Linked DNA regions of Daphnia pulex. The protein of the gene in region 2 binds, or shares a complex with, the protein of the main gene of each other region. Links are inferred from orthologs where the notes say so. Each region holds a gene or a part of one and is shown on either strand. Other genes may lie near its edges. The genes, in order: protein polybromo-1-like and AT-rich interactive domain-containing protein 2-like.

Region 1 (3,825 bases), on a different chromosome or scaffold from region 2:
TGGACGAATATGTGAACCACCCAATTCACTATCTTCGTCGATTTCATCTAAATTGATATTCAAATTCATTAATTGTTAATCTTTTCAAATACGAGAATAAGGACAGTGCTACCTTTAAAAGATAAGTCGGATGATTTAGATGCTTCACCCATTTCGTCGTTAGAGTCGTCATATTGAAGGGCAGCAGTAATTGCTGATAATGACTGAGTTGCTCTGGCACGCTTACTTCTATAACCAAAAAAATATATTTATTAATAGAGAAAATTAAATGGAGTATATTAGCTTCATACCTAATTCTTTCGCTAATTTTGCCTCCAGTGTGACGAGAATGTTCAATTTCGGCTTTTCGAGAAGATACCGTTTTTCTCAGTAATTTGGCATCTTTATAAATTTGGGAACCAGGTTCGTTATAACTGCATGCATTTTTTGTTAGAAGATTCAAATCTTTTTCCATTTCATTGAGATTAGAATATTCATTGGCTTGAATTTTTGTGGCTATCTGTTTTAAGTCAATAGGATTTTCTATAACTTGGTAGTAGTCAGGATAAAGTCTTCTTGATGGCAGTAGCTGAAAGACTGAGTGAAGTAATCTTCCATCTGATGAAGTGGCATTCATAACCGCTGCAAAAAGTTCTTCGTACATGTTATCTTCATCAATTAAATGCTGGGAAGAAGACGAAGAAAAATTATCCCTCGATTCTTCAGACTCTGCATCTTCTGATTCAATAGGAGAGACATTGACAGGCTTCTTGGGGGGTCGTCCCAACTTGACAACGATTCTTTCTTTTACTGGCTTTACCTCAGGTACTTCATCAACTCTTTCACTTTCATTGATTTTATCAGCTGTTTTTTTATACAAATCCCATAAAGTGCAAGCATCTTGGTATTCCGTTGAATGTTCTGGATAAAACTTCTTGGCATTCTTAACCAACCGCTCAATATCCACAGTCATTTGGTCCAGATCTTCATACTCATCTGTCCTGATCTTTTGCTGAATTCTTAACAAATCAATTGGGTTTGACACAACATCGTAATAGGCAGGCTCTTGTCTTCTCTTTGGGGCTCTAATCAAAGCATCACATAACAGAGCTCCGTCTTCTTTTTTGAAGTTTCGAATCACGTCGTAAGCTTGCTGGCAAATTTCGATAGGGTCGAGCCGGCGGCGTTTTCTTGAATTCTCCGCCATTTCTTCCGGAACGAAACTGTCGACTTCACAGAAAACTGCGAAACAAAAATGCACAATCTTTACAAACGTGAGATATAATAGGGACTGTCACGAGGGTTAAAGGATCGTTAAAAAATGAAAACGAAACGCCTATATGTAAATAACTAAATACCCTTTTTGTGGACGCTATTGGCGTTATTGTATAGTGTGCGTAAGCGTTGCCAAGTGTAAAAAGTGAATTTTTCGTATCGATTTTTTGAAATCCCGCCAAAAGTATTCTTTACTAAACGGGATTTGATGATGCACTGTTTCTTTTTTATAATGGTTTTTTTACAGAAAAATTTAAAAAATAATAACATTTTTTTATATAGTACGTGTATGCAAATAATCGCAAAGTAACAAATTTTATATTATATTTACCCAATAACCCAAACAGCCAAAATAGGAAGGAAAGGAGGCATTGATGTTAAAGTAATAAGAAAAAAAAGATCACAGAATAATTTGGACCCTATTTAAACTTTGATTTCTCCAACCCAGCTTCTGTATTACATGTTATATAATAATAATGCAATTTAGGAAACCCTTTTATAATGTGAATTGGCATTGCAAATATTATAACTATTTGGATAGCAGAAAATTAACCCGTAAAAATTCCCTATAAAACTCTACTATAACGCAAATTTAGTCAAGAACTGAAATCACGAAGATCGATGCGGTTCTCGCAAATCAGTAATAATTTCGGATAAGTCATTGGGTCTCACGGGATGATAATCCAGCTGTTTGCGAGCCTTGTCTATAGAAAAATAGTGGGTAACACCTGTCTTGAACAATTCGGCGGGAGTGAGAAAAGGAGTAAAGTCGATGAATCGATAAATAGCACTGTAAACAAAATGCACGAAAAAAACAAGAATGTACATCAACCACATAGGTATTCGGGTAGTGGGAAACGGCTGTCCGTAATGTTCCATTAATGGTTTGAAATATTCCAAGTTGTTGACAGGACATCCATCAGATAGAAAGAACGCTTGGCCGCCTATTCCAGGAATATTGCGATTGATATCTGCTAATTTTAATGCAGCTTTTACATGTCCTTGAACTACATTTTCTAACCCAATAAAATCGACCTTTCCACCATGTTCGTCGTAGTAATTAAATCGTACCATGCCCTTACGGATAGCACCAAGCACACGTGGCAAGTGTCTTGACTCGCCTAGCCCAATAACACCAGCTAGTCTAAGTGCACATGTGTGTAGATCTCCGCGTCCGTTGCTGGTAAGGACTAGTTGTTCGGCAATTGATTTTGTGCGAGAGTAATGATCAACGTGACGATGTAACGGGAAATAAGGCAGACTTTCATCCCCGTTGAGTATTGCATCTCCACCGAAGACAACATTGTATGTGCTTGTATACACCAGGCCTTTGCAATTGTTCTCGGCGCATGCTTTGATGACGTTACGTGTTCCGACTATGTTAACCTCTTCTACTTTGTCAAAGTAGGGTGGCATTTGTTCCCGACCAGACATTCCATATGAAGCTGTGCATAATTCAAAAATAAGTTTAAGTAAATGGAGAAAAAAAAATATGAAAAATTTTCTTACCAGTATGTATAACACATGTTACATTTTGGGTTGCTTCCAATAATCTATCAATGTCCCTTACATCTCCTTTGAATACATATTAAATGATTTTATAAATATAACATTCTACGGTACATTTTGAAAAATGAATGAGACTGGAGAGCAACCATTTTAGAGAGAGTAAATTACCATTGATGAATTTCATTGTTCCATGGGAACAAGAGATTTCTTCGCTTTTCATTCCATCTGTGTTGTGTGAGACTGAATGTTCAATGTTTGGATCCCATTTTTTGGCAGGATAATTAACGTCAAAAAGAATGACTTCATGTTGAAGCTGAAGAAGTCGTAAGCCTATGTGGAAACCAATGTAACCGCCGCCACCCGTTATGAGAAACTTGTAAGCAGGTTGACCGTCCATACTTTAATGATACCTGTTTAGCTAGTAATGATCTCGTGATGAGACAACAGACAAATTATCAAAGTTAAAGTAGGCCACAAGTATTGATGAATACATAAGTGCTTATCTATTTGGGTTTCGATCGTCTGCTAATATATATGTTCATTCCTAACGCCGTTGTCAAGTCCATTCAATTCAATATCACAATATCTACCATCGTGATTCGTGACATGTTCGTGACCATGATCATGACAGAGAGAGTTGACATCACAGATAAAGACCACCGTGGTCTTTACCTGTGGTTAACGTATTTCAATCAGATTTACGGTGAAAAAATCAAGTTTTTACTTTTATACGGAGTCAACTTTTGCTACTTTTTAAGTTCATGGGGATCAATCCAATCCGGAAAGTTTTTACTTTCTCGTTTTTCTGGCCTCTGTCGAAAACTGGAAAGGTCTGAGCGATAAATATTCAAACAACCTAATAGGGAGATACGATACGTAAAATACCTTTCGAAAACTTGAAAATAGTTTTTTGGCATTGAAGTAGAAAATTACGAAATAAAAATTTCTCGATCTACGCAGTTTGCTAGCTGCTACAGGAACTCTTCGAGACTTTTTGAGTACATTTTTTACCTCTCTAGCGTTATTATTTATGTTTCACTAAGTACACGATGGATGTTTTAA
Region 2 (4,257 bases):
CAAGTGGCTTGGCCAAGAGAAGACAACGCATAAACACACTCCAATGTGTAGATTAATAATGCAACATCAGGTATAGTTAAATAGGAGCACAGTTTTTCATAAACCTTCATTTAAAAAATAATAATTATTAATGAGTGTATAAGCGTGGTGCGGATGAATGACCGAAGTCAACCTACGTGAGAATCAAGAGACGACATCAAAAGCAGCTCATTTTCACTGCGTTGGGCCAAACGACCTAAAGTTTCCATACAACGGAGTACAATAAAACGGTCGTTTGACTCCAATCCTCGTGTGACCGTCCCCAAAAGAATGGCCGACAGCGAACAATCTGCGGGATCCTTTAAATTGACCTGCAAAGAAATGGCCGTCAGCTATCTAACCGCAAATTCCACTTTGAGCACAAAACTCCTTTACCTCTAATGCGACATTTGATATGGCATCGAAGGCCAACTGTGGTAGACAAGACCACCTGGCATGAGCAGCCAAAAGAAGAAGTCGCATACAAGCTTCGCTTTGAGCTAATACAGCCGAATTGACATCATCAAAACTCAAATTGCGAATGACATTAAGAACCTTGAATGAAAGACACGAGAATAACAGGTTTAATTTGCAACTTTCCAAAGGTAAATAGAAAATTCTAACCTGTAAAACTCTTTGACCGAGAGCATCGTGAACACCTTGATCCCGACCAACATGAAATAGATCCAACTCCTCTGGTTCTAATTGTAGCACAGGATCGTCCTGTTTAATTGGAGGCTGTTCGACGGGACATCGAGCAGCTCTGCGTTGATCCAGCCAATAGCGGATGGCACGTGGATTATCTGGTTTTTGAATGGCAACTGGCAATTTGTTTTTGGGAGCAACGACTTTCCTCTCCACATTGGTCTCCGCTTGTGAAGGTGTTTCCAACTCGAAAGCGGCGTTGGACTCGGTAATTGGTGGAGCGATGCCGTCATGTGATAAATCTGGTTTGGTGTGCGATTCAGCATCTTGAGAAGATTCCTGCGCAGCAGCAGCAGAAATATCCTCACAAACGAAATCTTCGTCGGTCGGCTGAATACTCCGAGATGGTTCGACAGCAAAATCGTCTTGGGCAAAGGAGGCAACAAGATTCTCATCATTTTGTAAATATCCAGGAACTGCAACGTCGCTGGCAGGTTCTATGGGGCTATTGGCTGATTTTGCCAAACAATTTTTGAAGTTTGGCTCACAACTGGGCACTCTTTCCACGTTTGGCGGACTAGTAGCCGAAACCACATCAGATCCTGAGGCTGACAATGGACCCGTTCCATTTTCGTATAACATGACACTACACTGAGACTCTTCCTCAATTAATGTTGATCCTTCTTCAATCAATGTTGATTCAAGTTCGTCCCCTCTGGAATTTAAGGTCACTGATCTGATGGGTCTCTCACTACCTAATGGGCGTACGACCAGATGCACTTTGTTTGTTGCAGATGTACTGCCATTTTCTTCTGGAAGAAGATCTGACGGTAGAGTCCTTGATGAATCAGCCTCTCCAATAGCACTCGACGCTGTATGAACAGATCGGTGATCCCAATACGGGCCCACTACAGCTGTAACATCGTCTGGTGTGACCACTAAATCTTCTTCAGACAATTGTACAATGTCAGCATCCGGGACAACATCACGCCAAAATCGGCCGAGGTTCTGCCCACGAAATTTTCGGTAACTATCCGTGAATAGATCTCGGATGTCAACTGTAAGACAAAGCCCAGAAAGGTGGGATAGAATTAGAAAAGTATACTTAAAACAGCAACTTCTGTAAGGTGTACCTTGCGAAAAGATTCCAGCGTGTGCTAGTAGAGCATCGACGATGCGGGGACACTGATGGAGGGGAAACGGTCTTCGGCTTTCCATTGCAAGAAGACTGCAAACATTGATGGCGAAGTCTTGCTCGTTGGGTAGAGGACATAGAAGGGAGAGGAACACTCGCTCAGTCGGTGTAACCTGTATCCCATCAGTCGACAACCCAGCTGTGTTTCGCACGTGATCTACAAAATAAAAGTTATTGAATGCACTGCAATCGATTGTGTAAAGCAGTTGTCAAACCTGGGATAACGTGCTGCGCAGCATTATAAGACGTCGGAGTGGCATGAAGAAGTCGAAGGGCTTTACGTCGGTTGCGGGCGTCATCCTCTTCGTGATGTTCAGACTCGCGTCGATCAACTTCTTCGCCCAAAAAGTGTATCCTCTCGTAAACATCCAGGTATCTGTTCGTAAACAACGGTTATTATTTATCTGTTGATATTTGCCATGCTTAGACTGTTATCATGAAATATACCTTATATAAATTTGCTTCAAAGCAATTGGTCCATTGGCGCATAACCGGTGAATGCCAAAGTAGGGAAGCAGAGATTCCCATTCGCCGTGTACGTTCACCTAATCATTTGACATTTAAACAAACAAAATTATATTAGAATAAAAACCTATATCGAATTGAAACTGAAAAATTTTAATCTAGCAACCATAGAGTTGTTTATACTGGAAGGAGGTCATGCATTTAGCCTTTCAAAAGTTGACAATATAATGAAACCAATACCTTTTCCCATCCGCCGTGCGAAGTGACGAGTGAGTAGAGAAGATATAAATCAACTTCATGACCGTGGAGACGTGGAAGTTTGTTGAAACTCGTCCTTAAAAAAAAAACACAGAATTCAAAAATGTTAAAATAATCCTCAAAATAGGCATTATAATCAAATTTTTCTTTGTGTCACACTAAGCAAGAAGAGTACACTCATCATCAAGTCCTTGTAATTGCAAAGCATGTTATTTACCCTCTGATGTCATGAAAGGATTTTAGTTCCCGGCAAAAAGACGAATATTCATCGGCATACGTTTTGGCGTCTTTGCCGAGATGTTCAGCCATTATTGTTACCGGCCCACCACACCTAAACGGTTAGGGTTCAGTTGACAATCCTCTAAGCATTCGTCAAAGCATTCTTAAACGGTACCGAGAGGACAATGACCAACAAATCGATGGGCGCCAAAACAAAACAAAACAGAAAGCAAGGAGGAAAAGGCGCGAGGATCACTGAGTTGTCATCGGCACGTGTGTGAGAGGGGCCGTGAGTGGGGAGATGCCAAGGGCGCGATTTTCTTAGCATCGGTTTGTGTTCGAAACACTAGGGCAGCTATGGATCACGGCGTAATCTTCCATTATGAGCAAGGACGAATTCACAAGGAAATAGATCAATCACTTGGCAAGTGGACACAACACAGTGGCTTTTCCAATTCCACTTGGATGGAACAAGAGTCACAGAGTATTGGGGCTTGGTTGTTGTATGTGCAGCAGAATACTATGTTCACTGGGGATGCCAGGGCAAAATGGCGGCGAAAAGTTCTCAGACTACACTTTAACTGCAAATATTTTGTCACTTGTTTCTTGACCACACAGCAGGTAAGAAGATCCCGATCAATGGGAAGCAAACTTTCTGTCACGAGCGGGCTAGTCCAGCAAGAGTGTTCCAGTTGTTGTGGGCGCACCGTACCGCGCGTCACAAGTCCCGTGCCGATTTTCTTTCCTTTCCTTTGTAAGCAGGCAGGCAAAGCATTAAATTTGTCTAAAGCTATCTTCAGACCCAACGCCACCTATCGGAACCAAGCGCACGGTTTTTTCGAAGCTTTGGCAAACCGTGGCAAACAGAGAGAGTTGACACAACTTCTTCATCAGATCGTGCTCGATTATTTGACGTCTCTGTGGTTGGATTAATCGTTCGCTTATTTATTTTTGATTAAAAAATACATGCCTACGTGATTAATTTAAAAAAAAAAAAAATGCAAGCCTACACGCCATCTAGTTGTCGTATCGGTGACCGTCAATATAACGCCATCTCGTGCCTGACAGTCGAGTCCTCTAAATACAATTTGCAGCCATTTTGCTACACACGTGTAGAGCTGTAGACTGTAGAGCAAGTGAGCAAGAGAATCTGCCTGTACTACACAGTAGAAAGACGTAAAGCTTCCTGCAATGACTTACAAGTAAAAAATACATTTATTGATTACGCATTGTAATGTTTTAATGAATGTTTAATAAAAGTTAAAGGAAAATTTAAACAATTTTAGGCGTAAAAAGTATCATCGTGGAGAAACACACATCCGCAAAAAATACAAAGGAAAAAGACGTACTAAAGATCTGGATGAGGTATATAATAGTTAATATTTAATGTATTATATTTTGACTTTTAAGTTTCATTGTGATAATGTATATTTTCAGATTGATAATGATTTGAAACA

Evidence for each region.
Region 1: AT-rich interactive domain-containing protein 2-like (region 2) and protein polybromo-1-like share a complex: the UniProt entries of both Homo sapiens proteins name them as parts of the SWI/SNF-B (PBAF) chromatin remodeling complex. The link is inferred for Daphnia pulex from reciprocal best matches to the Homo sapiens genes ARID2 and PBRM1.

What each region holds. Positions count from the first base shown.
Region 1 is NC_060022.1:3,968,731-3,972,555, forward strand, and holds part of protein polybromo-1-like, read right to left. Parts: intron 3,304-3,825; exon of another isoform or gene 3,161-3,303; coding exon of another isoform or gene 2,932-3,160; intron 2,830-2,931; coding exon of another isoform or gene 2,764-2,829; intron 2,700-2,763; coding exon of another isoform or gene 1,864-2,699; exon of another isoform or gene 1,565-1,863; intron 1,469-1,564; exon of another isoform or gene 1,222-1,468; 5' UTR 1,187-1,221; coding exon 291-1,186; intron 229-290; coding exon 113-228; intron 48-112; coding exon 1-47. Other genes in the region: short-chain dehydrogenase/reductase family 42E member 1-like, read right to left, coding at 1,864-2,699, 2,764-2,829, 2,932-3,160. UniProt on the Homo sapiens protein: Involved in transcriptional activation and repression of select genes by chromatin remodeling (alteration of DNA-nucleosome topology). Required for the stability of the SWI/SNF chromatin remodeling complex SWI/SNF-B (PBAF).
Region 2 is NC_060025.1:6,746,447-6,750,703, forward strand, and holds the start of AT-rich interactive domain-containing protein 2-like, read right to left. Parts: upstream 3,116-4,257; 5' UTR 2,976-3,115; intron 2,913-2,975; 5' UTR 2,891-2,912; coding exon 2,799-2,890; intron 2,658-2,798; coding exon 2,564-2,657; intron 2,404-2,563; coding exon 2,306-2,403; intron 2,235-2,305; coding exon 2,074-2,234; intron 2,016-2,073; coding exon 1,797-2,015; intron 1,722-1,796; coding exon 643-1,721; intron 574-642; coding exon 415-573; intron 351-414; coding exon 177-350; intron 105-176; coding exon 1-104. Other genes in the region: zinc finger protein 593 homolog, read left to right, coding at 3,992-4,002, 4,087-4,165, 4,238-4,257. UniProt on the Homo sapiens protein: Involved in transcriptional activation and repression of select genes by chromatin remodeling (alteration of DNA-nucleosome topology). Required for the stability of the SWI/SNF chromatin remodeling complex SWI/SNF-B (PBAF).